Oryzias latipes: one gene and its partner. The protein of the gene in region 1 interacts with the protein of each later gene in a biochemical or structural test. Links are inferred from orthologs where the notes say so. Each region holds a gene or a part of one and is shown in the gene's direction. Other genes may lie near its edges.

Region 1 (7,986 bases):
TTCCAAGACACTTAAGACTGTGGAACGAAACTATGACGTGGGCGACCAGGAACTGCTGGCCATAAAGGAGGCATTCTCCTAATGGAAGCGTTGGCTAGAAGGGTCGGCTCAACCTTTCCTGGTTCTCAGCAACCACAAGAACCTGGAGTACATGAAGTCCACCAAGCGGCTGAACCACGGCCGGCACGTTGCTGTCTGTATTTCTCAGGCTTTCACTTTCAGATCACATATCGCCCTGGGTCCAAGAACGGAAAGAGGGATGCTCTGTCACGTTTATGCAACACCTCGGCTGAAGGATAAGTCGCACCAAAACCCGTCCTGCCCTCATCACTGATCCCAGCTCCTGCTCAGTGGGACATCACGACATAGTTGACAGAACACAATGCAGCTGACGCTCCACAGCCGTCCCGTCCGGCCGATAGGGTGTTTGCTCCCCCATCCCATCAGCAATGGGTCCTCCACTATGTGCACGACTTGGCTGCAACCAGACACCCAGGTACGGCCAGCACACAAGCACCAGCCTCAAACTCTTTCTGGGGGCCCACGCTGCAGTTTGGGTTGCCCAGTACATGACCCAATGTGCATCCTGCCAAATGGCTAAGTCGCTTCGACAGCGTCCGGCCGACCTCCAGCATCCGCTGCCCATACCACCACGGCCCTGGTCACACATCCTGGTGGATTTTATCATGGATCTACCCCGGTCGAGGGGTAACACCACCATCCTCTCTGTTATTGATGGTTTCTCTAAATCTTGCCGGCTGATCATAGCTACCCACAGCACTGGAAACGGCAGAAAGACTCATAGACCGGCACTATGGTCTGGGGGGTTGGCCTCAATATCTGGTGGATTGGGAGGGGTATGGCCCAGAGGAATGCTCCTGGTTGCACAAGACGACATCCTTGACCCCCTCCCCGATCAGTGACAGACCAGCGCCCCCACCTCAGAGGGCCCCTCGCTTCCGGAGCCTGCTTACAGGAGGGGGGCTTTGTCAGAAGTCAGAACTCTGTCTCCCCCTTCTGGTCACCAACGGGAACTGCAGCATACTGCATTGAGCCAGATTTTCTGGCTCCTGACCCTGATTCAGTTTCGTAGACTTTTAGCTGAGCTAATAATCCTGCTGCATTTGGATCCTGACGCCTGTAGTATTTGTCTGACTTTTTAAGAAAAATAATCAAGGAAAAAGTACTTCATTCCTTGAGACTCATGTGCATCTGTTCTGTCATGAAGTGGTCTTCTTTTGCTCAACTTGTCAGTTTCATTCATTCATCCTTTCATCCAGCCATCCATCTTTCGCTCATCCAGGACTTGGTCGTGGGGGCAGCAGTCTAAGTAAAGATGCCCAGACTTCTCTCGGCCTGGCCACTTCCTCCAGTCCCTCTAGGGGACCCAGAGGAGTTCTCAGGACACCTTGGAGAGATGTAGTCTCTCCAAGGTGTCCTGGGTCTTGCCTGGGGTCCCCGCCCAGTGGGACATGCTGGAACACCTCTGCAGGGAGGCATCCAGAGGGCATCCAGACCAGATGCCAGAGTCATTTCAACTGGTTCCCCTGGATGTGAAGGAGCAGCGGCTTTACATTAAAAGAATAATTTCAAATGTTTATATTTTGTGTTTGTCGATCTTTGTGTCAGTGGAGTCTATAGGAAATTGCTCTCCTCTATTATCTGCCTCCAGAGGTCTCCAACATTTGTTAAAGGTCCGGGTTAAATCTGAGTTGGAGTCTTACCAAGAGTCGTGGTGGTACCAACCATTGGTACCTGGCTGCCAAATGAACCAATTTCCATTTTCCCTCAGGACTTAATACATTTCCTCAGGCAGACACTAGAGGGCAGCGGTTTTCCTGTGAATGCATAAACAATGGGTCTGAACTGTCTTCTGTCCTTCCAGGTCCAAACTGCTTTGCTGGGAGCAGGGTGATCCCAGCGGGGGGGCCTGTGGACATCAATGAATACACTGTTTGCTACTGCACGTATAAGGACGACACATGGCACACCCACCCCCATGCTACCTGTGAAGAACGCCCCCAGCCCAGCCTTACACCCAGCACTAAGCCCCCCAGAGAGGAAGATAAAAAAGGCCGGAGGGGGAGGCCAACATTCCCCAGATGGGATTTAATTCCATGAAAATGTTTTAAACAATGAAAGTCTTTCTGTGGAACAAGAAATGAACCAGAATTCAACTCCAACCCTGACTAGAGTCAGACCATCAGCTGATAGAACTTTCTGGAACAATATTCACAACAACAAAAAATCAACATTTGTCTTCAAACTCTAAACCAGAACTTGATCACAACTGAGTTAAACTAAACTGGAACCTTCCTAAAACCCAACTTTAAATTAGCCAGAATTTATCTATAATTGACTGAATGTAATTTGAACTTAAAAAGAAATAAACAAAATCTTCAAAAATGAAACAAAAGCTGCACTAGAAATTGAATAGAAACGGATGTACAGAAGCTAAAACCGGATCAGATTTTCTCAATACTAAAGTGGAACCAAACCAAGTCTAACTCTAACCAGAACTAGAACCCCAGTTTAACCACGACTCAAAAAGGACTAACCTGGAACTTAAACCAGAACTGAACTAGAACTTCACTTGCATGGTCAATGCCTCTAAGCCAATCGGATTGCAGCAGGGTCACCAGGACAGTGGTATTCTTCGTTCTCCCGTAGAACAGGCTGAGACATCCAGAGACCCCTCCCCTGAAACAGTGTGTTTGTTTATTGTCCTTAAGTCAGATGACGTTCTGCTCGGCCATCTTCCTCGTGCAGCAAAGCCTCTGAAGAGATCAACGCCTGAAGCTTTAGCAGCTGAAGCTTTGGTCAATTATTGATGCCAATGGAAACAGTTGCTGCAGAGAACCATCTCTGAGTGAACATGTTGATATCTGAAGATGAAGAAGAACAGACGAACAAGAGTTTGATTTGCTAGAGGAAAATCTGACTCCTCATGACTCCATGACTCTCCTTCTGTTCCAGTCATTCGTGTCAGTGAAACAGTGCAGTGTGTTTGTGGGTTGTTGAACTTTTCAACAGAACTCTTCTTTTAGAAGTGTCAGCGGGTCTAAAGACTGTTCTGTGGACGGTTTCAGTGTCTGGATGCTACAATAAAGACTTTGTTTGGTGTGAAAGTCTTCCACTTCATTTGGAGCCTCTATTTTTGTCTTCCAACATGAATCCTCCCAGTAATGTGCACGTGTCTGTTCTTAAACTCTGCTCACATTACTGCATTGCTTGACGCGACGCCATCTTGGTGAGGTCGATGGCGCCCTCATGACAATGATCTCACATTCACATGTACTTTACTCTGGAACTCCTCGTGGCATATACAGGCCGACAGCACCATCTATTGGTGGCGGTGGTTATTACTGCTGTCTGTCACAACATAACACACAGCACAGCTGTCATGGCCGCCCCCCACTTCCACGGTGAGTTCAGTCCTTAGATGATCTCTGTTTCCTCAGCGCTCGTCAGCACCGCGTCTGCGCTCCTCTTCCTCAGAAAACACATCATACTTCAAATATCAAACGTATTGCCATCCGGATTTGACCAGTTAAACCTCCCAGAGTTCTGAATTCAAGCCTTGGGAAGCAAGTTCTTCTTTAGCACCAGCCTGCGTGTGACCCCCCCACGCTGTGTTGCTTACGTCATCTGTCTGTGATCGGCGCGCAGACGGACCCACGTCACCGGAGACCAGCGTCTCTGCTGCGTCTGGGTCCTGACTGGTTCTGCAGGATTCGGACCTTCGGTTCTTGGACGTATGTGTAGAGCGGCCGGTCTGCTAAGGACCTGGAGGCAGCTCCAGGACCGGGACTGATGGTTGTGGTTGTTGCCCTCAGGGTCGTAGCCGCTCTCCATGGATCACGTGACCTTTGAGTCCGACATGGTCCTGTCAGACGTGCACATGCACCTGCCCAGCGCCGGGAGCCTCATGCCGGGTCTGGACTCTGCAGGTGAGTTTCATGGTCCTGCTTCCTTCCTGCTGTGTTAAAGCTGCCTGTCTGGATTCAAACCGCACACCTGTTCTCCTCAGTTTGCTCGTCTTCTGATCTGTATTCACAGCTTTCCCGGGGGTCTGTTCATTCTGATGATGATGATGATGATGATGATGATGTCGTTTTCTGGGACATAGTTTCTGCAGAGCAGCAGGAGTTCATTAGAAATTCACCTCTAATTGTGGGGGTGCGTGGTGGGGGGGGTGGGGTGGTGGTCTGGCTTGGCTTGGGGGGGTGGTCCCTTTGCCTGTGCTGGGGGGGGTTGGCGGGGGGCCCTGCTCGGGTGGGGGGGCCCAGCGGCGCCGGATGGGCTGCCCATCTGCACCTGGGGCTGGGATCGGCCCTTCCCTGGCTCTGGGACGGGACGGGACAACCCTCTCGGGGCCCCCGGTCGCTCTGGGTGTCACCCGCTTCGGCTGCGGGGTCTGGGGTGGGGTGGGGGGCTTGTCGGCCCTGTCCTGTGGGGGGGCGTTCTGGGGGGGAGGGGGGGCCCATTATTAGTACGGGTCGGGGGGGCTAGCGGGTCGGGGTCTCCGCTGAGGCAATCAGTGGTTGCCTCGGCCGGTTGGCCTCCTCGGTCCCGTCGAGGCCTGACCAGAGCTCTTCTAGGGCCGGCGTCTGGGGGTGGGGGCCTGGGCTTGCTCCGGGGGGGGGGCGACGCCTTCTGGCTCCTCTCTCTCTGTGTGGGGTGGGTGGTGCCGGGCCTGGGGTGTCGGCGCCTCCGGTGGTGGGCCCCTGGGCTGGGTGGCCCTGGCCCCTTTGCTGGGGGTGGGCTGGGGGACGGCTGTTTGACCACCGGGGGACAGTCTACCAGCTGTCCCCAACTTACCCCCTTCCTTATATAACCTCATATTAGGGTGAGGGGGTGGGGGGTCTAGCCTGCGATGCGCCTTGGGGGGGGGCTACTTGGGAGTGGCCCCCCTCCTATGGTTGCCGTATGGAGTGGGCCCCCCCTCTTTCGGTTTTATTTGCACCTTAGACATGTAGGGTCCTTGGTAGGGGGGGTGCTTGGACATCACTGCAAGCAAGCAGCAGATGTCCTCCTGGCACCCTACCCGCCAATTTTAACCGCACCTTAGACATTTAGGGTCCCTAGGTGGGGAGGGTGAGGGGACATCACTGTGAGTAATCAGGAGACGTCCCCTTAGTGCCCTACTCGCCAATTTTAACTGCACCCCCCTTAGTACACACACCCCTCCCCCTTCAATATATACATTCAAACATAAACACACACACATGCACACAAACACCCTCTCAAACACCCATACACGCACACACATTTTACAAGGAAGGTGGGACCTGGGTCCATCTGTCCCCTACCCCTTCCCTGGTGGGGGGTGCGGGCCCCTTGGCGATGGCGGCCGTGTCCCTTGGGTGCCGGCTCCCTGGGCCCGGCGGTGCTCTCTCCGCACGGTGGGGGGGTTCATATTACACCTGAGCCGGGGGTGTTCGTGTCCCTGGGGGGTGGGTCCTGGTCCTTGCCCCTGGGCGCTGGGCCCCGCCAAACTTCCAACATGGCCGAGCCTGGTCGGGCCATATTTATAACATCCCTTGTGGGCCGCCCTTTTTTCCCGGGGTTCCCCCCTCCTGGGCGGGGGCGGCGGGCCCCTGCCTTGCTCCTGCCTGGACCAACCGTGGGCCGGGTGGGTGGCTGCCTGGAGTGCGGAGCGGGTCTCCCTTGGGGGGTCCTGGCTCGTACCTGGGGTCGGGGCGGGGGGATGCCCGGAACTCCTGGGTGGTGGTGGGGTGCTCGTCTGGGGCTGTGGGCGTCCCTCTCCGGTGGGGCCCTGCGTTGGGCTCTTCCGGCGCGGCGGGGGGCTGCTTTCCTGGCTGGGCTGGGGCGGCGCTCTCTTTCCCTCTGCGCCTCCCTGCTCTCTGGCTCTGGGGGCCTCGCGGCGGTCCTGCTGGCCCTGGCCTGGGTGGCGGTCTTGGTCGCCCGGGGGGCGGTTGTTCCCTGCCTGTTCCCGTGTGGCGTTGGGGGAATTCCGGCTGCCGCTGCTGCTGCGGCGGGGGTATGGGTGTGGGGGTGGCTGGGCGCTCCTCCTCCTTCTTTTCACATTCCACCATCCATTTTAGAAGAACATAAACACTCACCTGAGCACAGGTGTTGGCTCACCTTTGCACTAATAGTTTGCATGATTGAATGAATGAAAGATTTCACACTAGTTGGTTTAAAGGCATAGGTATGCGTTCGTGAACACTATCTGTTTTGTGTGCATGTTGACATGTGGACATTTTTGCGGCTAGCAGGTGTGTTGATAATATTTGAGTGTGTGCGAACAGGCCCCGCCCTTTTTGTACTACATTTGAACCTTACCGTAACGATAAACAACCAGTAAACCTGTCTGCTCTATGCTGCTTCATGGTCTTACCCCCCTTCCCCTCCTATTATCACCCTCCTACCCCCCCCTCTCTCTAACGTCCCTCTCTCTTCTTCCCCTCTTTCCTTTTCCGTCCGGTCCAACACCAAAGATTTTCAAACATGATTGAAATTAATAAATTTTGGCCTCAATTACAAAAGGGGTTTATTCAGACATACCTTTGGTTTGTCTGAAGATGAATAACCCCTCTTGTTAAGATAAAATATGTCCAACACAAGAGGCCCTCAGCTCTCATCTGTTTGCCTAGCTGTTGGACAGGACAAGTTAAAAAAAAAAAAAAAAAAAAAGAAATTCACCTCTAAGTTGTGGGCGGGACTTGTGGCACAGAGCAAACCCATCCCCCTTCCTGTCACTTATGTCTTTGTTCCCCCTCTCTCCAGCTAGCTTACAGCCCCTCACACCCCCCCATCCTAACATTAGCGTAGCAACAGAAACAGCAGCAGCATCAGATCCATCCATCCGTCCGGTTCTGATCCAGATTCCAGCTCAGACCAGGAAAACACAGACGTTCATGGATCTGTTGGTCAGCAGGTGGATGATCAGAAAGGGGCGGAGCTTTGAGACTTTCGTCCCGCCCAGTTCAGTCGCCGCATCACAACTGAGAGCTTTTTCGAACGCGGCTTTTAACGACTCCTGATTCACAATTTGAATAAATTCTTGTTAAAATGTCGTCCATCATGTTAAAAAACAGCAAAACAGCTTTTTCATCTCCACATGAAATCAAATGAAAGCAGCTCAGCCGACAGGCAGACATCTCAGATCTGATGATGAGGCAGTCCTAACCCAAACAGAGACTCAGTGTTTACGCCCTGCTCAGTCAGCTGACGTCTCTTCTCGGACCGTTTCATGTCCTCATCATATTTCAGCTGAATTTCTGCTGGTCTGTCAGTCTTCATGTCCAGATTCAGGATCCTGCTAGAAAACCACGACAGCGGTGATCTCAGGAAAACCGTGGAAGAAGAGGAAGAGCGTCCGCAGGAAGACAGACGGGTGGAGGAGGAGCCAAAGTTGGATGAAGACGGAGACCTGGACCTGACAGACCGGTAAGAAAACAGACCTGTCCTGGTTAGTCATGGAGCCGTGTCACCGAGTTAATCACCAGGTTCTTCAGGAACCCAGAAGAACCTTTGAAACCATCAATCATAAAGCTGACTGTCAGTCTGAGCAACACTTCCTGTTTGCAGCAGAAGACAACAGCTGATGTTCGGTCAGTCAGTAGGTCGCACTCCACTCACCCTGTCCTTTGACCTCCTCAGACCCCGTAGAGACCCTAAAGGGGACAGTGGGCGGGACCCGGTTTGTCCGGTCATTCTCAAACAGTCCGACCCAAAGCTGGAGCAGGAGCAGCAGAACACGGAGGCAGAAGACGGTTGTGTTTTTGAAAATGTCCTAAAGATCGGTAAGAGACTAAATTCTTGGATGTTTTCATGCCAGTCTTCATTTTAAAGCCCAGAAATATGTTTTCATCCGAGTGTCCAACGTGGTCCAGTCAGGGTCAGATGAGGACAGGAAGGGATGACAACAGTCCCCAAACACTCATTCCTCAGAGCTGACCTGTGCATCTAACACCTGAACATGTGTTTCAGAGCATGCCATGGCGACGCCTTTAGAAG
Region 2 (7,967 bases), on another chromosome or scaffold:
GTCAAAGTTGAGTTTCTTCTACCTGAGTTGGCCACGATGTCCGTGGAAAACAGCGGCTTCTGGTCCGTCCTGTAGGAGATGACGGACCTGCGGGGGGGGGGGGGGGGGGGGGGGGGGGGTTAGTTAGTCCGGGATTCAAAGCAATACTTGTGGCATGCGCCAGATAAAAGGGGCGGGGTCCACACCTGAATCTGTTGAAGATGACCGAGCCCTGGTCGAACTCGTATCCGGAGTTGAGCAGCTCGGTGGCGACGATGGAGGCGTCGTTGAAGCTGGGGGGTATGCGGCCGACCTCCTTACAGTTCAGGATGATGTGCTTCCCGTGGGTTCTGCTCGGATCAACGGATCATGAAGCCAAGGCGAGTCTGAATCCTGAGAGAACCGTCAGAACCTCTCAAACCTGTGCAGGAGGCCTCTCAGCTTGTCTCCCACGTTGACCACCATCACCTCCTTGCCGGCGCTGGTCAGGTTGGCGATCTCGCTCTTTATGACCTTGGCCACACCGGAGTGGATGGCGCCGCAGAGCCCACGGTCAGAAGTCACGCCGACCAGCAGGTGCTTGGAGGTCTTCTCCTCGGGCGCCTTGATGTCAGCCTTCTCGTACAGCGCTGTCGTGCAGAAGAAGAGACGTTTTTCAGCACGGCGCCCGCCACAGCAACCGCGGCGTCACCGCCAACACACACCTAGAGCTCCGGTGCCGTAGACGCGGGCCGGCTTCAGCTGCCTCTCAGCGCGGGCGTATTTGGCAGCGGCCACCATCTTCATGGACTTTGTGATCTTCTGGATGTTCTTGATGGACTTCAGCCGAAGGGTGACTAAAGGAGAAGAGCGGTCACATGATCAAACACGAAACACAATTAAGCCTTTGTAAAAACTTTATTCGTCAAGTTAAGTTTTTCTTCTCAAGTTCTTTCAGATGCAAAACATGACAAGTTAGTTAACGAGCAGATATGGGTTTGCAAAATACAAATAACATTAAATCCATATTTATTTTTTACAAATTCAGGAAATGAATTCACTTTACTTTAATAATTGGTTAAGTGAAATCATCTGTCACATCGTTTAATTTAGTTCATTTGTTTTATTTATTTTTTTCTCTAAAAAAAAGAAACAATAACAATTTTCACTACGCAGTTTGTTTGTTTTTACTTTCTAAAGCTCAGTTATAACTAAATTAAATCTTCAGGGGTAACCTGGAAATTACAGGCTTTTATTTTTATATCAAACCATCCTGGAGATGCTCAGTTATACCTAAATAAGTCTCAGAAAGAGTTCATCTTAACAATCCAGGCTTTTATTTTGTTAGGAAATCATCACGAATGAATGACAGTCTTCAGAGATGCTCCGTTATGTTGACATATGTAATTTTTCACAATAAAAGTAAAGACATAAAGTTGTTTAACAATGAAACCGTGCAGACAGACAACCAAATGGAGCATTTTAGCTTTGGGGATAAACACTTACTGTCCTTCAAGGTGGCCATGTTCCTGACCTGCCCACTGCGAACACAATCAGTTCACGTTAGCGTTTCATTCACTTCCATTCATGTACAGATTTCAGTGCAGAGCTGGACTTTCTGTCCTCTCGCAGACACCATGTAGCATTTTATGATATAAGAACTGTGGCGTCCTAAAGATATTTGCTAGGTAGTATCCTTATTAGCTTAGCAGCTAACGCTAATGCAACGCAAAAAGGCTAAAACAAACAGAAAAAAACTACTGTAAAAGCATCTGCTGTTGGAATACACATGTACAGAGATACAGCATCTATTTATAGACTTTGTGTTACATTTCAAAAGTTACAGCAAATTAAGTTAGCGCTGTCATTAGCATAGCCGGTTGAGTTAGCTTCATTCATTAGCTGCGGCCTGCCTCTCTTAGCACGTCCTTGTACAACTGATGTGCAAATCCTGAATTCAATAAGCCACATTTTCGTTTCTACAACACTTTAGAATTTAGGTTTGATTTAAAAAGACAATAAAAATAAAATAAATGTGATGTTTGATGGTATTTGGGTTTACCATTGTGGGAGGAAAACCAAAGCGCTGCTCCGGGCGAACATGGCTGCAGCGATGAAGGTCAGACACCCAGAACTGCGCACGCGCAAGCCTACGCTTGTCGGATGATAACTTCAAGGACCACTGGGAACTTTTTCCTGCATTGGTTTTCAAAATCAAAAGCTCTTTGTATATGTCCACATGTGAATTTTTTTATTGACATTAAAATAAAAATGATTGGAAAAAATGAGCCCGCGTTTCTTAATATAAAACCATTAAATTTGATGTATTTTTATATATTTTATTTTTTTACAGAAATACTCTTAAGCAGAGTCTTTACCTATTTATCATTTTAACAGGTAGAGCAAATCAAAACGCATGTTTAAATCGCGCATTTAAGGTTTAGCACAGAAAGGAAAATATTAACACAAATAACTGAACTACAAGCAAATCAAAACCTTAAAGAATTTTATGTAAACAAAAACTTTTTTGTAATATTGCTAAATAAACACAGGCTTTAAATAATCCATATCATTCATAAGATCACTGAGAAAAGCACAATGATTTTCTTCTTGTTTAAACTCATCACACTGCTTCTGGCGTATGAAGTTTTTAAAATCCGGAGCTCGTGAGAAGTCCATGAAGGTATCAATTGTTATCGCGGGATTTTGTACTTTTGCGACAGTGTGACGTCTGTCGGCGGAAACGGTTAGCTTGCTTCCTCGGTTTATCTCAAAATATTCGGGAAAATATACCCAGATTTGATATTTTTTACAGGTTTAATTGTGTTTTTTAACAGATCAAAATGGGGAAAGCGGAGTTTTTGACCCCGAAATCGATCAGCAACCGAATAAAAGCCAAAGGTCTACAGAAGCTGCGATGGTATTGTCAGATGTGTCAGAAACAATGTCGAGACGAGGTGAGATTTTTATATTATGATCTTATTTTACACCTTTGGTTGTTGTTGGAGAGTTTAAACGGTGATTTTGTTCTGTTTTGGGGTCTAGAATGGCTTCAAGTGTCACTGCATGTCCGAGTCCCACCAGAGGCAGCTGCTGCTCGCCTCAGAAAACCCCACAAAGTTCATGGACTATTTCTCAGAGTGAGTCCTCTACTAACCATCCCAACTGGAGCTTTAACACTCACCTTAAAGATGTTTACCATGTCTGTTGCTGTCTGTTTCAGTGAGTTCAAACGCGACTTTCTGGAGCTGCTCAGGAGGCGATTTGGTGAGAAAAATACCCTTCAGAGAAGCACTTAAACTAAGTCCTAAGAACACAGTTTCCCTTTATGACGATGACTTTATTTACGTCTTTATGCCTTTGAACAATATATTAAACACCCAGCGCCCCTAATCTAAGTAGTTCTTTACACATTTCTTAAAGAAATGTGGCTATTCTGAAAACTATTAAACAGTATTTCAATGGTTTTTGATGGATTGGGAAATTTTAAGAAATTCTCAGCACTAAAAACAAAGTAATAGGAATTAAAAATACACAGATATATCAAATCTATTTAAGAACTAACTAAGTCTTGACATTATTGCTCTTACTCATCATTTTATTGATTTAAAGATCAAATTTACAAGATTTTTCTCGTTTTTAAAGACAAAAACTTCTCAAAAGGGGATTGAGTTAAATATTTTCTTATGTTTCTTCACGTCTTTCTAAAAGGCTAAACAATAAGCAACAACTGTAAAAATCAACCAAAAAGTGAACATCCACTTAAAAGATTTTTAATTATGTGTTTCTAATCTTTTTTTTTTTTTTCATTTTAGGGACCAAACGAGTGCACAACAACATCGTCTATAACGAGTACATCAGCTACCGGGAGCACGTCCACATGAACTCCACGCAGTGGGAGACGCTCACGGACTTCACCAAGTGGCTCGGCAGAGAAGGTGAGTCCAAAAACTGCCTTTAGATCACAGCTTTGCGCCTCTTTTCTCCAGATTTATACCACGTATATTTATAAAAGTTGGAAATGTCTTTGAAAAATGTGGATATATTCTCAGCAAATCTGAAAGAAGGTTAAATTCAAAAGCGACTGAAGTGACCTCAGATGCAGAAAACGCATCTGGACCGGACCTTCTGCTCTAAATCTGCCATTAAAGCCTTGAGGCCATCTTCCTGCAGACTGCATCTTCGTACTCAGATTTCCATAAAATGTTTATCAGGTTTGTGCAAAGTTGACGAGACGCCTAAAGGCTGGTACATCCAGTACATCGACCGTGACCCAGAGACCATCCGGCGGCAGGAGGAGCTGGCGAGGAAGAAGAAACAAGAGATGGACGATGTGGAGAGGAGCGCCAAGTTCATCGAGGAGCAGGTCCGAAGAGGCCGCGACGGCAAGGAGACGGAGGTGAGTTCCAGCCGGACGCAAATTCTGATTCTGTGCGTCTTAATGTACAGACGGTGGGGGTGAACGCCGTGTCCCTCTTCTTCTTTAGGAAACTCCTGTTTTCACAGAGCTCAAGCGTGAAAGCGAGGAAGAAAAAGGTGGGAGTGGTTTGGCTTTTTTTTTTTTTTTCCCCGGTCTCTTAACTTTGTTCTCATCCGGCGTTCTCCGCTCCTGCAGTGGTCTTTAACCTGGGAGCGTCCGCTTGTGTGGCCGGCCCCTCCAAACCGAGGTACGGCCGTCTCCGTTACCCTTTCGCGGTCGCGTCTCCTTCGGCCTTCGGCTCTAACGGGCTCTTTTGCGCCTCAGCTCCGTCCTGGGTCCCAGCGCTCTGAAAGCAGCCGCGGCGCCACCATCTGTGAAAAGGAAAGACCCGCCGTCCAGCTCAGACTCCAAAAGCGAGAAGAAAAAGAAGTCCGCCTTGGAGGAGATCATCGAGGTTCGGACCCTTTGTGTTTGTGTTTGTCCTGCCAATGTCAGAGCGGACCGTCCTGAACCGTGTTTCTGTTCAGATGGAGGAGAGGAAGAAGAAGCAGCCGTCCAGAACCGACTACTGGCTGCAGCCCGACATTGTCGTGAAAGTGATCACCAAAAAACTGGGAGAGAAATACCACAAGAAGAAGGCCGTTGTCACGGTAACGGTGCTGTGATGACGAGAAACGACGGCGGGCACGGAGGCCTCTCGTTGCTGACGGCTGTACGCCTTTGTGAACAGGAGGTGCGAGATCGATACGGAGCTGTGGTGAAGCTGATCGACTCCGGGGACAAACTGAAACTGGACCAGAACCACCTGGAAACGGTCATCCCTGCACCGGGTGAGCCCCCTTTCCGCCGTTCCATCCAGGTTCTGCAGGTCAGGGATGCTAAAGGTGTCAAACGGTCCGCAGGTAAACGGGTTTTGATCCTGAACGGCCCGTACAGAGACACGGAGGCCCTGCTGGAGGGCATCGACGAGAAAAACTTCAGCGCCACGCTCACACTCGACGCCGTGAGTGTTTCGACCCGGGTGTCATTCACATCAGAACCCCAGTTTATACCCCTCATTCCAAAGTTTGAGGACTTTTACTGTGACATGTTGCTGGTTTGATAAAAAATAAAAACCGACAGTTGAACTCGTGTCTGTCGTCTGGCACGTTGGTGGTGGGTTAATGATGTGGGCTTGTTCTGTGTTAGATACAGAAGAGTCGTCGGATCGTTTTGAAAATGATTTCCTGTTTTCTTTTCACGTCCAGGGTCATCTGAAAGGGAAGAGGGTGACCGTCGCCTACGAGGATTTCTCCAAGCTGGCCTGAACATTCGTGAACGTCGTTCGATGTTTAGACTGAGGGACTCTACTGTGTCAGAGTTAACCCCCCCCCACACACACACACACCTGTACATACAGCCATCCCTCAATCCACATGCTGGACAAGTCAGGGATATTCACAGCAGCAGTTCCATGTTTTTTTTATTTTGTCGATCCTGACGTCTGCAGGTTTGAATTTGGTCTAAATAAAGTTTGCAAAAATAGATTTTTTGGTGGAACTTTTCTTTGGAAAAAAGTCACATCTGCTTGTCCCCCCCCCCCCCCCCCCCCCACCTCTTTCACAACATTCTTCTTATTTGAAGGTTCAGAACTGCGTGGTATTGTCTGGGTTCATGTGGAGGAAGCTGTTCAGACCGGGTACGATGTAGTCTGTGTAGTGGCCGTCGATGAAGCCCTTCCCGCTGTTGTGGACAAACCAGCAGTAGACGTTGGCGCCCTTCTTCGTGTCGCGCCTGTAGTCCTTCTGCCAGCCCCTGAGGAGAGCAAAGCGTACCGAGTTCACAACCCATTCGTGTTTTCGGTCGGACTTGTGGGCGGGACAGTACCTGGTAACGAGCAGCCTGCTGCCCTTCACCTCCATGGTAGCTTCCTTCTTCAGAGGGTCGAGTCCCTCGTGGACGTTGTACACGTGAACCTCAGGCTCTCTGGAAAACTGCCCTGTGAGGTCACATCAGACAAACCTTTATCTGCACGGTTTCTTCATTCTTTTCATTTTATGCGAGCAGGACATGATCAAAAAGTAATACTTCAGATTTCTACTACTTTAGTCAGAATCTCTGAATGAAGGAAGACTTTTTTAATGCTAAAACCTGTTAGCGGCAACCATGCTAGCCCCTAAATTTCACTTCTGAAATTTAAGCTAACCTGACAGAGCCCTGCAGTTCCTCAAATGACCACTAGAGGCTGGTTTCAAATACATTTTCAATTCAAATGAATGTTCAAAAAGTCCAACTGTCTGGTTTTAAAAGCTTTAGACTTTAAATGCTTCGCTTTGGAATAACGACCACTAGGGCGATGTTGGTGCTGTCGCCACAAGCGTCTCTTGCTAACATTTTTCCACATGCTTTCTTTACAGTCGATTAATCACAGCTAACCTTGTATAGTGTCAGTGCTGTCGGTTTGATTCCCTGCTTACCTATGAGTCCATGAACCAGAGGGGAATACTGGTTATTGTTGGGAATGTAAATTCCCAGGAAGTCGACGTTGACGGGATGTTTCTTCCACACGCGGTGAAGCAGCACCATCACCTGGATATTATTGTTGATGGTGATGTTCACATGAGCGTCCTTCACAATGGAAACTCTCACCCTGAAACAAAGAGAAAAACCCATTCAACACAAGGTTTGCTGTAACAAAGAAAGTGGTTTCCGTTTTGTTTCTAAGCAGCTTTAGCTACCCGTCCTGTGTGATCTCAGCCGTGGACCCCCAGGTGAAGGAGTTTTCCTTCCTGTTGTCGGTCAGGGTGATGAGGTCCGTGCTGACCGTCACGCCGACTCCTCGCGGCTGGTAGTAGACCGAGATGACGCCGAAGTAGGTCCTGAGTTTGTTTTTGAGGACCTTCTTTGAGCCAATTAACTGACCGTTCACAGAAACCCCTTCAGGACGTGAGGAAGGGCAAATAGGACTCATATGAAAACGTTTCAAGAGTTTAGCACACAAAAAAAACATGTTTATTTTAGCACGGAGGATTTGAGTCTGAGGTCAAATTGAAAGATTCTGAAGAAATCTCTGTATGTCAGGATTAAAACTATTGCTAAACGCACAATTATGGAACAATATTCATGTCATATTGCCTATAAATGTTTCTTTTATTCCAAGTTTCTTGACTTGTGTAGTGTATATATTTTTAAATTTAAAAGATGGAAACGTCTTTTTTTTCACCTGTTCCATCATCCGACACCAGGCTGAGGATGTCACCGGGCTTGGAGTCGATGTTGAAGCACACGTTTGTGGCCCTCCCAGGCAGGTGAATGATGAAGTGGGGGTCATTATCAACTGCGTGTGAAACTCACAGTGTGACCACGCAGCCACTAAAGATCCATCCATGAAATCTGAGATATGTGTTACCTAAGTTAACCGTCTCCGGCAGCGTGATCTGTTCCACTTTTGGCTCCTTCATCTCACGCAGGGGGGGCTCAGTGCTCTGCTGGACCCAGGAGGGGGGAGGCTGGTAGACAAACTGCACCGGGGTGGGGCCAGAGAGTGCTGAAAACATGCAGTATACTCCTGGTTAAGCATTCCTTCAGAAATTCTGTCTTTTTCAATTAA

What was found.
Region 2: of the proteins of mettl22 (region 1) and kin, one has a biochemical effect on the other in vitro, tested with the Homo sapiens proteins (2 studies listed by BioGRID). The link is inferred for Oryzias latipes from reciprocal best matches to the Homo sapiens genes METTL22 and KIN.

The regions. Positions count from the first base shown.
Region 1 is NC_019866.2:25,830,724-25,838,709, forward strand, and holds the start of mettl22 (methyltransferase-like protein 22), read left to right. Parts: upstream 1-3,365; 5' UTR 3,366-3,425; exon of another isoform or gene 3,426-3,755; intron 3,756-3,836; 5' UTR 3,837-3,853; coding exon 3,854-3,950; intron 3,951-7,262; coding exon 7,263-7,416; intron 7,417-7,629; coding exon 7,630-7,772; intron 7,773-7,959; coding exon 7,960-7,986. UniProt on the Homo sapiens protein: Protein N-lysine methyltransferase. Trimethylates KIN at Lys-135 (in vitro).
Region 2 is NC_019881.2:22,191,239-22,199,205, forward strand, and holds kin (DNA/RNA-binding protein KIN17), read left to right. Parts: upstream 1-2,645; 5' UTR 2,646-2,704; intron 2,705-2,795; 5' UTR 2,796-2,801; coding exon 2,802-2,915; intron 2,916-3,003; coding exon 3,004-3,098; intron 3,099-3,181; coding exon 3,182-3,225; intron 3,226-3,773; coding exon 3,774-3,896; intron 3,897-4,172; coding exon 4,173-4,357; intron 4,358-4,445; coding exon 4,446-4,494; intron 4,495-4,573; coding exon 4,574-4,625; intron 4,626-4,702; coding exon 4,703-4,832; intron 4,833-4,905; coding exon 4,906-5,028; intron 5,029-5,108; coding exon 5,109-5,208; intron 5,209-5,280; coding exon 5,281-5,381; intron 5,382-5,625; coding exon 5,626-5,685; 3' UTR 5,686-5,904; downstream 5,905-7,967. Other genes in the region: atp5f1c (ATP synthase subunit gamma, mitochondrial), read right to left, coding at 23-87, 186-329, 401-608, 684-815, 1,465-1,499, 2,021-2,061; itih2 (inter-alpha-trypsin inhibitor heavy chain H2), read right to left, coding at 6,004-6,172, 6,245-6,356, 6,835-7,007, 7,096-7,294, 7,581-7,694, 7,767-7,904. UniProt on the Homo sapiens protein: Involved in DNA replication and the cellular response to DNA damage. May participate in DNA replication factories and create a bridge between DNA replication and repair mediated by high molecular weight complexes.